Oreochromis niloticus: one gene and its partner. The protein of the gene in region 2 interacts with the protein of the main gene of each other region in a pairwise test. Links are inferred from orthologs where the notes say so. Each region holds a gene or a part of one and is shown on either strand. Other genes may lie near its edges.

Region 1 (7,717 bases), on a different chromosome or scaffold from region 2:
GTTGAAACGTGTACAGGCCACATGGAACTACATGGTGGATGAAAATGCGACTCTCTTTATGATTGTAACAAGACCTCAAACACCACTGGCTGAAATGCAAACCCAAACCATGACACAGCCTCCACCATGTTTTACAGATAGCTGTAGACACTCACTGTTGTACCGCTTTCCTAAATTATAACTTGATTGTAATTTGTTGTTTATGAAAGAATTGCAGAGTGACAAGTTTAACTATATTTTAGTGTTTGAATGATACTAACATAATGTAAAAAAATAAAATAAAAAAGCTGAAAAGAAAGCAGCTAAATGGGATAAAGAAGGTTAAAGTTAAAGTTCAAATGGAATTAAAATCAGGGTAAATATTTTGTAACCTTAATTGATATGAATGGAGTAGCATAGGTAGTAGAACCACATTATTAATCATATTTTGTCATGATGGAAATAATGGTAATTGCCAGAGCATATGATCCCTGTACAGTCCATGCGGTCACACTCAAACTTCCTCTATTTAGCATTTGTAACCATCAAAAAACCAAGTAGTGACTAGTTTATTATTTACTCCAATGAAGTTGGAATAAACTAAGACCAGCTTTTTAAGGAACTGATTAAAGCACTGCATTTGTCAGCAATATTTTATATCATTTCAGCTGTCTCGAGCTCTAACTAAAGTCATTAATGCCTTCTTTTTTCCATATTTACAGCAGCTTTACAACATATTACAACCCATTTATTAGAGTCATTTACTGCCTAACTTAAACAAAAGCAAGCGTCAGTGTGATTACAGTGTACAGGATTTGCCCCTGAAATCTGTACAGTACACAGGACAGTTTGTCAGCTGCTTTGCTTTCAAAGCCTCATTCCTGCTAGACGCGAGGAATGAGGAACCGCTGGGCTGCGAATGTCAGCTCTGTCTCTTTCTATGTGGAAACCTGACTCACCTGATGAGCAGGAGGATGTTGGATTTTCCATTGGGTTGTTTGTGAGCCACAGTGTCAGCAACGTAATTAACATCGGGTGCAACAGAACAACAAAGTAAAGAGAGAGAAAAACAAAGAGAAAAAAATGTGCTGATGGTGCTGCTGGGAGAGGTCAGCGAAGGAACTCGAAGGCATGCAAGAAGGATTTTACTGCGTGATGGGGTAAAGTGTGCTTCTGTGGCTCGTAAACTCTTTTATGCTTTATGGTACAAAAGTAATAATTAAAAAAAAAACAGCCAGAAGTACCCAATACTGGGAATAGCTGGGAGGATTCATTTCAACATTTAAAAACATTCAATTTTTTTTCCTTTGTATATTTCTGCACTTTTTCTTTTTAATCTCATAATTTTTATTATTATCATGATTATTTATTAATATATGAGTTTTTTATGATATACTATATTCCGTCATATTATGTATTATTTATTTTATTGTCAGTAGCCAAATGCAAAAGTGTTGAAACTATATATGTATATATATATATATATATATATACATACATATATATATAAGAGTTTATTTAGTTCAATTCTAGTTTTCATGTTCATAGTTGCATGTAATACACTTTAAATTGATTGGTTGCATGTGCCCTAAGCCACCACCAGAGGACGCCAGATATCCAGCTCAGATACCACCTGCTTCCTCATCGTCAGCCTGTATGTTTGATAACACATTTCAAACTTCTCAGCAACTTACCAACCAGAAACAGGAAGCTTCACACATACAGATGTGTTTTACCTCACTGTGTGTTACCAGGTTTAAGCCCCATCACAACCAAGCAGGCCTCCTTGCATCGTGTATATGAAATGTGACGCTGTAGCCTTGTCCCCAGTGGATGTCTCTGCTGCAGCTTTCTATTTTCCCACTCTGGCTGCCCACTGGGGCTGAAGCTCCCTGTCAACTCTCCTGCCAAGGTTACAGCCTGCTCCCACTGCTGCTGCTGCTGCTGAGGAATTTATTATCAGCATATATTTATATTTCTCCACTGGGATTGGTGCCTATTTCCATCTATATCTGTGTGGGGTTTTTTGGCATTGACATAAAGTGTTACAAAAATAAAGAAGGCCATACGACTCATTCATCTGCCTAGTGTGTATATCTGACTGCAACTATATTTAATTTAATGATAATGTACTGTATTGATCCTGCTTGTCAGGAACAGCCATGTATTTTCTGCTTTTACTAAGTGGAAAGATTGTATGCGATGGCTTCATTCGTTATAGATTAGGTAATCATTTACTAATGCTTATTAAAACAGTCGTAGCGTTTGAAGAAATGTCATTTTTTGACCACTTATTGCAGCTGGCTGCTGCATGGGTTGCCATATTTAATCTAAAGATGCCAGTGTAACAGCAGTAAAAGGGTCCCTACTTCTGCGATTGGGCACTTACGTTTTCTGTCAAGTATTTCTGCATGTTTTTTGTGCCTCACCACAGTTAGTGGGAAATGATTAAATCAAGCTGTGAATAAAGTTCAGTGAATTTCTCAAAATAATGCACTATGCGATTACAATGGAGAGCGATTTGGTTCATGGACAAAGGTGGCCTGTTTTCAGATTTCATGACAAATTTAAGAAGATTAAAGGTGTGGAGTTTGTTACAAGTGTTGCATTTGCATTTGGCTGCAATTTATGGGAACCTTAAACGTGGTAGTCCAAACAGATGCTGGCCCAAAGGAAGGAGGACATCATTAAGCTTTGAAAAAAGAAAAACTAGTTACTGTGGTCGGTCAACAGTCTGGTGCAATATGCACTGATGAGCTCAGCAACAACAAAAGGCTTGAGACCACTGAGGGATCACTGATGACAGAACATCACCGCCAAGCCAAGAAAGAGTAGAAAAAAACAGCATCGGGCCATGTCCACGGGTGCCAAACCCGACAGGACTGTGAGTCGTTATTAGGAGGGTTACAAAGGTTACATTTTTGCAGGTTAATGATGTCCTCCATCTTTTTCTCTCTCTCTCAATGACTGTCTCATTAATACAAACACAAAGCACATCCATTAAAAAAGTCTTGTATAATCAATTGGCAGTGCGGCTGCCGCAACAAACTAGTGTCATTATTAGTGGATAGATCTGTGTATAGAAAGTAAGAAAAGAGTTTTACAAGTGGAAATTTCACTGCACTGGGAATGTAGATGCTCATAATATATAAATACATTAAAAGCTGTGTAAATGTGCATCAAAAGAAATGTATTCCTAACTTAATTCAGAGTTCCTGACATTTTAGTTGCTTTTAGTTGTTTAAACCTTGTTATTTTTGATTGACTTCAAGCGTTTTGTTGGATAAATGAACCCCATGCCCAATTTTACTGTACTCGTTTTCATTGTTTTATAAGAGTGTGTGCCTGGTGGAGGACAAAAGCAAAGCATGAATGTGACTCCTGAGTGAAGTGAGTTAGTAGGTTTAGGAACACTGCAGAGGGAGATTCTGCTCAATGGTAAAATATTGATCTGTATTAAACCTAAAGCTGGCTCCACTGAGGTTTTTCGAGGCAGAAGTAGTAAAGCACACCCTGTTACAGTGTGACGTGTCACTGAAGAAACAAATAATTGATCAGATTTCAGCTGTTGAAAATGACCTGTTGGCCTATAATCTGTGAAACATACGTCAAAAATATCTCTCATGAATTATAGGGTTAACCCATTAATCTCTGGCTCGCCTCCACAGTGTGTCTTTGTTCTGTCTTCCTCCCCTCACCCACAGCCGGTCACAGTATGGGTGCCCCTCCCTGAGCCTGGTTCTGCTGCAGAAATGTCACACTGTTAAAAGGGAGTTTTTTCTTCCCACTGTCACCAAGTGCATCCGATTGTTGGGGTTTTCTCTGTTTTATTGTGCAATATAAACCAGCACGAGGGAACAGCTGTTGTGATTTGGCGCTAAACTACTTAAGAATTGAACTGAATTTCTATCACAAGGCAGAAACTGCAGCTTTTGACAAAGTGACTTTTATATATCTTTTATTTGTCCAGCTAAAAAGGCTCACTTTTGTTTTAACTGATCTGGCCAAGAGGGCAGCAGGAACAAACTCTTCATAAATCCTGTTGTCTTTAGTCTATTTTCCAATATAAGCAAAGACATTAGCCATAAAAAACACACACACACACACACACATAGGAAATCACTTTTTGGAACAACACCTGGTTTAAAGTGTGACCAGCAGTAGAACCCAAACCCACTGTTTCTGCTTTAGAGCTCCGGATCCTGGTGAAGTAACAACAATGACACATAGAGGACTCAGGTATGGCTCTGGGAGCTTATCTTTTTACTCTGGGATAAAGAGGCTTTACTGCCTTTTTTAACTTAAACCTACAAAAAATCAGTTGGTTCTCAATAATGTGGCTCCAAATTTCTGCCTCAATGTCGGGTTAATTGCTGAAGATGAAATATCAAACCAATAAGCGCTTTCTTTATTTCTTATTATTTTATGTCATAACCTAGTTTGACGCCTACCCCCCCACTCATTTCTCCCCCCCTGCTGTCCCAGACTCCACCGGCCGCTGACAGACACCAGACCCTGCCGTCGTGCACGTCTCTCTCTCTCTCTCTCTCTCTCTCTCTGCCTCTCTCTATCTGTCGGTGACGCGCTCCAAGGTTTCTTCCTACCGGAGGCATCAGCAGCAGCAGCGGCGGCGGCGATGTATCGGTGTCTGCTGGCTGAGAGCGCCTGAGAAGAGACACACGGAGGATTGTTCCCAGCTTCTCCCCCCCACACACACACTCACAAGCACCGGGATTTATTGCGCTGACGCAATTTGCGGATTTGCGGAGCATCTATCGAATCTTCCGCTGTGTGACCCGGTAAGATACGGAGAGGTGCGCTCTCTGCTGTGTTTTTGACCGGTGTGTGTGTTTCATTTCCCCGGTAGATGACACGCTCCTGTCAGCCCGCTGAGCGGTTTACTGGAAGGCGCTGATGCTTTTTCTCCCCCCTTTCTCTCTCTCTCTCTCGTTACTTCATCCTTCCGAGCTCAGTGTGAAACAGCGGGGTGAAACCAGAACCGAAGCTCTGTTAGTGACTGTTTATTCATTTTGGTTAACGGGGACTCGCTATTGACAACTTAATGCGGTGCCGTGGCGCTTTTCATCCAGCGGGGAGAGCAGAGGTGTCTGTAACAACGGGGCTCTGGATCCGCCTATTGTTCAACAGATTCTCCAATTAAAAGTGTAATCCAGCCAGAGTGAGGCTAGAAGTCACTAAGAGTAAAAAAGAAATCAAAAGGCGAATAAATGAGGACTGAAAGTGACCAAATAGAGGGTCAGCACTTCTGCTTCTAGAAAATCCAGAGGAGGGGGGAAGGAGATTAATTGCAAATGCACATCTGTTCACTCTACTCTTTGCACCTGAGAGGCTTCGTGTGTGATGGGTTTTTTCTGTGTGTGTTTGGTGGCGTTTAAATGCTGGCCCTGCTGCTGTGTGAGCTTATGTGATGCTGGTCTTTGGTTTTGGGGGGTGTGCAGGGGAGATCAGCTGTGGTGGAGGAAAGGATGCCCTTGCTATTAAGTCACCTTGACGACCCTTCAGCAGCACACACAGAGCTGCCTTTGTCACTGTCAGGCTCACACCAGTCACCTGCTTTCACATGCTGTCATAGCCGTGGAGCCATTACCAAATTGAGGCACTGGTTTGTTTTATGGGTCTGGCTCATTTCCTGGATGTTTAGTTGTAAATTAAAAGAGTATGTCCAATAAACTGAGCAGTGTTTGGTATTAATTATAGTGGAAATTGAGAAAAGGAATGTCACAGCTATTAAGTCTGGCTCTATTGGAGTTTTTAAGAAATAAGAGAGTAATTAAGGGGAAATGTTGAGGAAAACTAACAAAGGAAGATGATTTTCTTCATAGCTCACTCTGCCAGTTTGTGTAAAATCTATAAGGGAAATCCTCATTAAAGATGTCAAATGAAATAATAATGCAGTAAACAAAGTGTAAATAGGTTTAAGTTGGACAAATTACTAGAGTAAAGCACAGTCTTTAGTTTACATTGTGCTGATGCTGAGAAGCTCAGGATAAACAAGATGTTCTTGGTAACACATCGCCCGGGTGACGTCCTCAGCACCATGGAGAGATGGCGTCAGGGAGTGTTAATAACAAACACTTCCTTAAATCTGATGGTTAGGTGACTCAGGATGAACCAATACCAGGCCTCAGAGAGAGGGTCTCTCTGAGCGTCATCCAAGTGTTCGAGCTCAGTTTGTTGCACAATTTATTATTTGTTATGAATATTTCTTTTATTTAAATCTTGCAACCTTAATGGTAAAGTGGTATAATTTTGGCAGGTGACCTGTGACTTGTGAAAATTTGCAGGTTGGGAATATCAGCTTTAAGAGATTGATCTGCTATTAATTATCTCCATTAATCAGTTTTTACCTCTTAGACCAATATGATGTGGTTTTGTCTTACCATGAAACCTCAGTCCCCAAAGATATGCTGTGAAGTTTGCTAGAAAAAATTGACATGCATTTTTTATGAGTAATTTTTTTAAGCTGCACTGATTACAGTTTCATTGGCAGATTCTGATTTTTACAGATTTTTGCTAATTTTCTCTCTAAGACCTTTGCTCATAACGAGGCTTCTAGCGTGTAGTTGGCTCTATCTAGCCACTTTTCCTTTGTTAGCTTCTTTAAAATGTCCATGTTCACTTGTGTGAGGGTGTTTAAGTGTCTGACTGAGGTTTGCTGTTATGAATGTTTAGGTGGTGGTCCCCCAGTGATTCACTTTGGTATATTTTTTGTTTTCACTCATAGTGAGGAGCTTCCACACTAACAAGATGTTAGCTTGTAGCTGTGAGTGTCTGTGACTGTTTGCCTGTGCCACTGTGCATGTATTGTGCATGCATGAAATGAACCACCTCATTCTTGAGGCTGCTTACATGAGCCTGACCAGCTGGTCACTGGTCAGGGCTGAGAACACTGGGAATTGGATGATTTGGGTGTCTGACCAGTTGATCACATCATCAATAGCATGCTACAACATTGACACTTAATCCCATTTCAAACCAGCATGATTATTCCTTTTGGGATCTTGTGTTTTAGTCCTATAAACTGATTGACTCCCTTCTTGTTCTGATTTTGGTCTTTACCAAGGATTGTCTCTTTAGCCAATTTATGTTCCATTGTGAAGATAATCATTTGGATATGTTAAATACTTGCATTCTGTCTGATGGTCTTTGCAGTTACACGTGTAGTTAAAAATTAATTGGTTGGTGCTCACGATTCGACCTAAAGACTATATTATGGAGCAGGATTTTGTGTTATCTGGGTAACTTCAGGGTTAACCCTGGGTTTTCTGTGGTTCACTTCTTATCAGGGTATATCACCATGGTACCTCATGCTGCTCCAGGGCAGGTCATGTTCTAGATTAGAAATCAGCAGGTATGACATGCCAACCCAATGACCAATGAGCTCAAAGATCCCTCTGACCTCTGTGGGTAGGTAGTAAAAGGGTCGGATGTTATTTAATAATATCTAAAGTCGTTTCCTGATTAGCATCAATAAGAAAAATGGATTCTTAAACATAACCTTATTCTTTAAGTTATTTTCCTGTTGGCTGTATTTTTTAAAATAATAATATTGTTGTATAAGCATTAATATATAACCCTAAAACTGCAGACCTATTTACACGTGTTGATTTTGTATCAAATCAGAGTCCAAGCCTTTATTCAGTTCTTGCTTTCAAACCGTTAAACACCACCAAGGCTGCAGCTGAAAGAATAAAAACCGTCTTCTAAACATTAATTG
Region 2 (8,254 bases):
AATCACTCAACCAATCAACATTGTCTCTTCTCAGGAAGCCCCCCACCCCACCCCCACCCCACGTCGCACTTAATCCCCGCTCCCCTTCCCAAGTGTAACCCCATTCCCTCCCCGATGATCATTCTCCTCCCCTTCCAAGTGAGGATGAAGACGGATCACCGCTCGGGCTCAGACTCCAGGGCCAGCGCCCGCTTACGCTCACGACACTGTTTCTTGTGGGCCGGCCAGTCCCTCTGCTGGCACTGGGACCCGCAGTAGCGCGCCACCTGGCAGCGGCCGCATATGTTGAACTCCCGCAGCTGTGGACAGACAAGGAAGAAGATCATCTTTGGCTCTGAGAGCACAAAGCTTTCGAATGGGAATGCTTTGCTACACGAGTTGGAATACATACCCTCCTCTCAATGAGCGAACAAGGAGGGTAGTGACACTCGTAGTAGGTGCAGGAACACTCCTCTTCCTCCACCAGCTCCCCATTTGCGTTGTAGTAACGTGTGCGACTCAGCTCCAGATATTGCTCCTCCACAGGGTCGGCTGGTACCTGCTGGATGGCCAGCCAGTAGAGGGACTGCTCTCTGTACAGATAACATGAGAAATGTTAGGCATGCATTACTTGTTTGGATAACCCTGGAATAAATCACAAAAGGATTTAAGACTCATTTCCCCTTAACATCTGCCCGGTTTGTCCTTTCTAGCATTTTCACATGTACCTATAACCAATGTTTTACCTCTGCTTGCTGGAAATCTCCTCTGGTTTAGGGCTCCAGCCTACTGGAACCAGTCGCAGGTTGTCTAGTCGGTTGTCCACTGTGACAGAGTTGATGTGGATAACTTGAAAACTAGGGGCGATGCCTCCTCTGTGCTTCTCCCTGGGTAAAGACATTAAAAGTTAGCCAATCTGCAACCAGCAGGGCAAAAATCTGATCTTGGATAAGAAGAGTGTTTATTCCAAGGACTCCTCAGTAAGGAGCTGATGCTAGCTCAGAACTTGAGCTTTGAAGACGTATATGAAGCATCATTGAAAGCCAAGTCCTCTACAGAGCTTGAGCATGCACTAGTTTACTATACAACCTCCATTTCTCACGACTAGTGATGAAAGTGGAAAGCTGGCTCGCTAAACAGTTGATGGTTTAAGTGACACCTGTGACGCCGCCCTGAAAGAATTCCTTTTGCAATTTTAGCCTTTCCCCTACTTTTGTTAAGCTGAAGCAATTCTCATCAGCACCCACTTATCCTATCTGACAAATTTTAGACTGACTAAACTAAGATGAGCCTTAGGATGGAGGGTGCTTTCACAAGAAGCATGCTCACAGATTTTCCAGCAGAGGAAAAACAACCACAGAAGAAGCTACTTCCAGCAGGCAGCTCCACATGTTTGATTTGGCAGGTTGTCTATTTTTAAATGCCAGATTCAAGCCCATGAGCTAAAGATCAAACCTGAGACCTGTCGCTTGTTAAAGCAGTGTGTAAACGACTACGGTATGGCGTCAAAGGAAAAAAAACAAAACAACAACAACAAAACAAACAAAAACGCCTTGACACAGTTTAAACAGACTTACCAGAGCAGCTCGTGCAGCGGCCTTCCTGCCCAGCGGCCTTTGCCGACGTCAAAAGCATAAGCAAAGATCTTAGCTCCATTGCCATCTGCATCTACTTCCATGCGTGCCTAGAAACAGAAAAACATCGCTCTATATTTTTTCTCCTCAACTGTATCCGGATATCAGAGCAGTAGTGAAAAATCAAACACTTACCTCAAAGGCATAGTTCTCCACCAGTGGTATGTCCTGCTCATCGATCAGCGTGTACTTTGTCTGAAATAAGACAATTCAGGGTTATTTTCATGTTTACACCTACAACTGCAACAACAGCATCCCCACTCTCAGGGGAGCTTCATTGTTTGTGAATTAGCACTAGCAGAGTCATAAACAGGGGCACTACTTCTAGGACAGGTTTCAACCTTCCAAACTTTTTACACATGCACAGCAGCAACACCTTTATGAAGCAGTCCCAGCTGTCTCACAGACATCTGAGCTCTTCTCCAGCAACACAACATCAAACAGATGAAACCTATAAATGTGACACTTTCTTCTTTCTATGATTGCATGTGTGTGTGGCGTTTTCACGAGTGACATGTTTACAGCTGAGTGACCGGAGCCCTGTCATTCAGCAGGTGGGCAGCCGGCTGGTCAGGGCTCAAATACGGTTTATTCCCAGTGTGTCCCGTGACTCCAGCGGCAGCAGCTGGGAGCGCTTTCTGACCCACCGCTCGCCACAGTTTCTGCTTCAAGCGTTAATTAGTACGATTAAAGCCAAAGCCGACACAGGCACAGATGTTGGGCAGTGTCGTCCTGCCGGTGCTTTGTCACACTGCACAAAAGAATCAGTTGATGGCAATGGCTTCCTCATTAGCCGACACTTGAGGGTAATCCTAGTAACAAGGCTAGCGTGGCTCTGCTAACTGCACCTCCGAGTCTTGGGTATGACACGACCGCCGAGGGGTTTCCACTCCACCGACAGCGGCTGTAACAAAAACTGAGCACGTGTTTACGTTTCTGGCGCTGTTTGATCGTTAAATGTTAGCCAGCGGCTAGCGTAACGCGCTACATGCTAACTAGCGTTAGCGGCGGAGTTTGAGAAACCAGTCTGGCTCGGCACGGCCGGCTTTTCTAATCCGCTCAAACGCCTTTAAATCGGTAAAGCCGAACTACTCCCGCATTTGCGACTGCTTCATAATAATCAACTCGGTTGGCTAGAGCTGATTGAGCATCGCTAACTATGTCTTTTCTGGTGACTTTTCTCTTCCCCGCGGGCCCTCCCCCGGCCGCACATGGCAGCCCTGGGATCCAGCTCACCTTCCCGGCCACACGGCCGAGCCGTACGATCCCGAGCTTGAAATCCGACATCAGGAGGACGGGCGGTGGCGACAAGAAGAGGCGCAGGGTCCAGCCTAAACTGTATTCAGGTTCAAAACTCGCCTCTCAGCCCCGGTTGCCAGGTTGCGTTAAATGGTTGGGTATATTCTCTGAGTCCGGATCTCTCCGGCAGCAGCCCAGCCTCGGTGACACACCGCCGCTGGCGCAGGAAAGCCGAACAAGCTGCTGCTGCTGCTGCTGGGAGGGGCGGGGCGGGAGGAACCTCTAACCGCAGCGTCCAATCAAGCGTGGCGTTAAGGCTTTTTAATACAACACGTCACCTTACGCTGCCAAATAGGAAGCGGCAGTTTCAAAAGACCGCCCGTTTTCAGTTACAACGTCATCACACTCTCGTGACCACTTCCAGCCATTTTCGCGCGAAATGTTTGATGTCTGGGTGGGATTATTGCAGAGGGCTTTGACGTCATGATGCGTCGTTTGCTGCTAAATTTGGCGACAGGCATTGAATGTGCATTGCGTAGGAGGCTAACAATGATTCATAAGGTAAACATTGAGCCCAGTGGAATAAAAGAAACTGGTAGACATGGATAAAAGAACATCATTAAGACTGGAAAAATAGAGATAATTACAATAAAGAGAAAAGAACAAAAAAAAGTCAGTAGAAAGCTGAGCCACTTACTGTCCAGGATCAAGGATAAAGTACACAGTGTATTCAGTTTATAGCTCAATGCAAGAACAAAAAATAATAAAATGAGAAAATTGGCCAGTGTTCAGATGATAGTTTACCATCACTTTAGCATCTAAGGAGCAAAAAACAAATTGAAAAACCTGATATGGAGAGCTTAAAAAGGTAATTGCTGTTCTTTAGGTTTGTGAGGATGTTTGATCTTTCATTGATTAATTTGTTTTACTAACAAAAGGTGGAGAGTCCTGGTTATTTAAACCTTAGTGAGGGTTGTGTCCCATGGATGTGGTCATTAACCAATTATTGATCATGTGAGTCATCACATCATCAAGGTGTGAAAAAAGGGTGAACTATTCACCATCACCCGGGGTTATGGGTGAAATCACTGTGGGATCTTGCCTCAACCAACCATGTGACCCACTGAAGTCATCTGAGTCAAGGCTGAATGTGGAAGGGGGTTTAAGAGCCTGGGAAGGGACCTCAAGACTATGTTCTGGTAAACCACCCTTTCTGTTCAACGATGGTCGTTTACAGTGGATGTAGATGGGTGCCTTTACTCTTCTCTCAAGCAATCTGCCATCTCGGTCCAAAATGTGAACACTTTGCGTCCTCAAAAGACCTGCCATTGTGCTTTAAGTGCAGGCTTAGAGATGAGTCTTGGGCCCATGTGTTTGTGGTTTATTTGCAGTTTGGTTTCTCTAATACTGAGGTATGAACATGCCTCACTGCACTGCCCAGCATACACTATGTTGTTTACCTTGTGTTTGGGAATTTGGAGAAAATTCTTCCAAGTTTCTCTGACAAACCTGCTACACAAGGGTAAACAGTATTGCTGTCCAGTTGTCTTTCTGTTTGTCCCTAGTTGTCCCTTTGATGATTTAATCAAGGCCCAGTTGAGATAACCACATGTTTCAAGAGCTTTCTTTACATGTGTGGAATATAGCTGACCTAGCCAGACCTACCATGACCTGGACGACTGTGAACCTACACAGACACACTGAACCTGATATAGTTCTTTGAAGATTTTGAAAGATCGGTTTCTTTTTACAATCACTTACTGACTGCATAATGTCTTGATGCATGCTCAATCACCCGGGTAAGTAAATCTCCAAAAGCTGATTCTGTTCATCTGGACGTAGCGTTTTGTGGGAGAAACGTTTCGTCACTCATCCAAGTGACTTCGTCAGTCTCAACTGACTGCAGGTTTCCCCAATCTTATAAACAGTACATTTGCATAATGACTGAAACCAGCCCACTGAAAGAACAATGGGCTTAATGGAAGGCATTTCTTCCTTCATGTATGTCAAACTTTCTGTGCCACTTGTTGCTACGCAATCCCATTACATTTTGGCTTTTCACCACCTTATACTGGATTCTGTGTTTGTCAGCAATGGTGATATGGTGTAAAATAAATGCACTGTTCCCGTATGAGTGATCTTTTTCATTTTGTTGCTTCAGTTATTTCAGCTCAGTTTTTACTTCCAAATACTGCTTCATTTCAGTCTTTTGTTATGTGTGTTGAATCACGCTACAGTAAGCTGTAATTCTACACGCCAGCATTCAGTCATGAGAAACAGAAATTCACAGGTCCTTATCCCCTCCTGTGAAAAACTAAGTAGACCTAGTGACTGAGTAGCTTGTAGAGCCACGTTTAGCAGCTATAACTTGAAATACTGGTTTTCTGTATGGGTCTATCCGTCTTACCCCACTCTTCTTTATGACGTACTATTCGTTTACACATAGCTCTCTTAAGGTCACACCACAGCATTTCTGTCTGGACTTTGACTGAGCCATTGCAACACCTTCATTCTTTTCTTTTTCAGCCACTCTGGTGCAGATTTGCTGCTCTGCTTGGGTTCATTGTCCTGTTGCATGATCCAGTTGTAGCTAAGCATTAGCTGTCCTGGACAGACAGCCTCAACAGACAGGCTGACCAGCTCTGTTCAAATGAACGAGAAGACTTTGTTCAAATGCTTGTCTGTTCATTTGTTAGCAGGAATAATCAAAAGGATTTACATGAAAAAATAAAATAAAATTACCAGAAGTGGAGTCTAATTTTGCTGCTGTGTTTGCGATGATTGTCATGTTGAATGACTCAGTTTTAATCAAGCTTTAGCTGGCCTCACATTTCACTCTAGAATAATTTGTTCTCCAGAGGAGTTCATGATCAACTCAATGACTGACAGACGTCCAGCTCCTGTGGCTGCAAAACAAGCCCACATCCCCCACATCTCCCACCTCTCTGCTTGACAGAGAGTATTAGGCATTTGTGCTGATATGCTGTGTTTGGTTTTCTCCAGACATCTCCAATCTGGTCTGGTCTGTCCAAAGGACATTGCTCCACAGGTCTTGTAGTTTGCTTGACTTTGCAAATCAATGTGCAGATGGTGGATTTGCATGAACACACATGTATGCTCCAAACTATCCAGCAAACTACCAATATATGTGCTTTTCCAGAGGTCGTCACATCTGATTATCAGTAAATCAAATGCACGTCTTTAACATCCAGGTGCTACTTAACCCCTTAATTCCTCGAGAACCAGCCATGGGGCTAAGAGAAAACTTTCCTCTTCACATGACAGCACATGGCAGTGTACAACAGGTTGTATCAAAATCAGAGGGTCTGTGGTGGGTTCTGTTTATGTTTTAGTCTTGACATTTGTACAGTTAACACCTACAGATATCCACAAACACCAAGAACTTGGCAACAGTAGGAAGGGAAAATTCCCTTTTAACATGATGAAAGCTCCAGGAAAACATCAATCTGCTGCTGTCTGTTGGGATTGAAGAGAATGAGAAGAGAAAAATAAGAGTATAGAGACAAAGGATAAAACCCGAAATATGGACATGCTCCCATCTTTTCAGATGGGGACTGAAAAGATGGGAATGAAGAGGAATCCTCAGAGTCCCCCAAGCAGCTTGAGACTACAGCAGCAGAGGAACCCCAGGGTCACCTGGTCGAACCCTAACAAGAAGCTTTATCAGAACAGAAACTGTTATGCCTAGAGAGTATCTGTCTTCTGAATCCAGACTGGGAGCTTGTTCCACAGGATTGTGATCTGAAAGCTGAAGAATCTGCATCCCAAACTTCATTTAAAAATCCAAGGAACAATAAGTAAGCCTGTAGTCTGTATTCTCTTTGGATAATATGGTAATTATGAGGTCTTTAACATATGGTGGGGCCTGGTTATTCAATACTTTGTATCCTGGAGGTCATTAACCTAAGTCATTTTAAATCATTACTATTAAAGTAATACTTGGTTCAAGAGAGCTCTGACTTTTAGCAGCCTGGCTACATTGCTGAAAAGAAATCTGTGGTTGTTCCTGTTTATCTCAATCAGTGACAAATATTAAGACATTCTAGCACTTTGGAGGTTTTCTAAACACCATTTCCTCACCACCTTCTGAGTTATCTGCTCTAAGATGTATATTTGTAAGTTATACCAAAGATTCAAGCCTCTGTGATTTGTTGCTTTTTCTTATTTTTTATGCTATTAAAAAAGATATCAGAGGAGGAAGTAGATATAGTGTAATTACATTTATTAAGAGCTGATCAAACAAAAGGGGGTTTTCAGGAACTACTAACCCAATTCCAAAAAAGTTGGGAGGCTGTGTAAATTGTAAATAAAAACAGTCTGCAATGATTTGCTAATCTCGCAAACCCTTATTTAATTGACAAATTAAATAAGGGTTGCACTAACACAGGTATAATTCTGTCATGGAAATTACTGCACTGGCTCAGGAACACTTCCAAAAACCATTGCCTATCAACACCATGCATCCAAAAGGTTAGGATAGCTCCATCACGCAAAGAAGAAGCCATATGTTCTTTGGTCAGAATTTGAAATTGTTTTTGGAAATTTTGGATGCCGCATCCTCTAGACTAAAAAGGACTGGGACCATTCGGCATGTTATCAGCACTCAGTTCAAAAGCCTGCACTTCTATAGTGTGAGGTGCAACGTTTCTCTACCAAAAGCCCATCAGCCAGCCGTCTTAGTTTCTACCTTTATGGCCTGTTGTTAAAAGAAACACAACCCTGTCCCAAACATTTTTGACATCTGTTGCTGCTGTTAAATTCAAAATTACTTTTCCAAGTTCAAACATTTTGTTACTTTGTACTTTGTAGGACTCAGAAGCAGCATTGAACTCAAAATACAGCTTTATTCATGGACTTCCCTACATAAAAATATAAAAGAACTTAAACTGGGGAGATACTAGAAAATTGCTAACTAGAAAGTTACAAAGGTGAGACAAGGAAAACTAAGACAATATATACACGCAGATAACGAGGGAGGAGGAAACGGGCGGAAAACACAGCAGAAGCAAACCAGGAATAACAAGACAAGGGAAGTTAAACTCAACACAATGCATACGAGACAAGAGGTTATGACAATAAAACAGAAAACATAGCTACCTTTGAGACAGAGCCTAAACCATGCAAACTTTACAGGAACAGAAGACAAACATGGTGACAGAACACAGAGAGACACAGGGATGTGATCCTTAAAGATAAAATGACCACAAAACACACAGACAAACAACACCTTGGGTCAAGACCCAGGGATCATGACAATTTACAGCATCCTAACAATTTTGCAATTGCAGAAAAGAGACAACAAATTAAACTCGCAGCTAAGAGATGCAGTCTTAGATGCCATTAGTTTTATTCTTCAGACTGAATGTGCAGAGGAAACATGC

Evidence for each region. The genes of interacting proteins can lie anywhere in the genome.
Region 1: the proteins of zmynd19 (region 2) and enox1 interact in binary tests that used the Homo sapiens proteins (3 or more experiments, as listed by UniProt). The two-hybrid records come from large-scale screens. The link is inferred for Oreochromis niloticus from reciprocal best matches to the Homo sapiens genes ZMYND19 and ENOX1.

The regions. Positions count from the first base shown.
Region 1 is NC_031987.2:29,212,997-29,220,713, forward strand, and holds the start of enox1 (ecto-NOX disulfide-thiol exchanger 1), read left to right. Parts: upstream 1-4,489; 5' UTR 4,490-4,778; intron 4,779-7,717. UniProt on the Homo sapiens protein: Probably acts as a terminal oxidase of plasma electron transport from cytosolic NAD(P)H via hydroquinones to acceptors at the cell surface.
Region 2 is NC_031972.2:20,644,909-20,653,162, reverse strand, and holds the start of zmynd19 (zinc finger MYND domain-containing protein 19), read right to left. Parts: upstream 3,205-8,254; 5' UTR 2,901-3,204; coding exon 2,850-2,900; intron 1,809-2,849; coding exon 1,749-1,808; intron 1,664-1,748; coding exon 1,557-1,663; intron 867-1,556; coding exon 726-866; intron 573-725; coding exon 392-572; intron 300-391; coding exon 156-299; 3' UTR 1-155. UniProt on the Homo sapiens protein: May be involved as a regulatory molecule in GPR24/MCH-R1 signaling.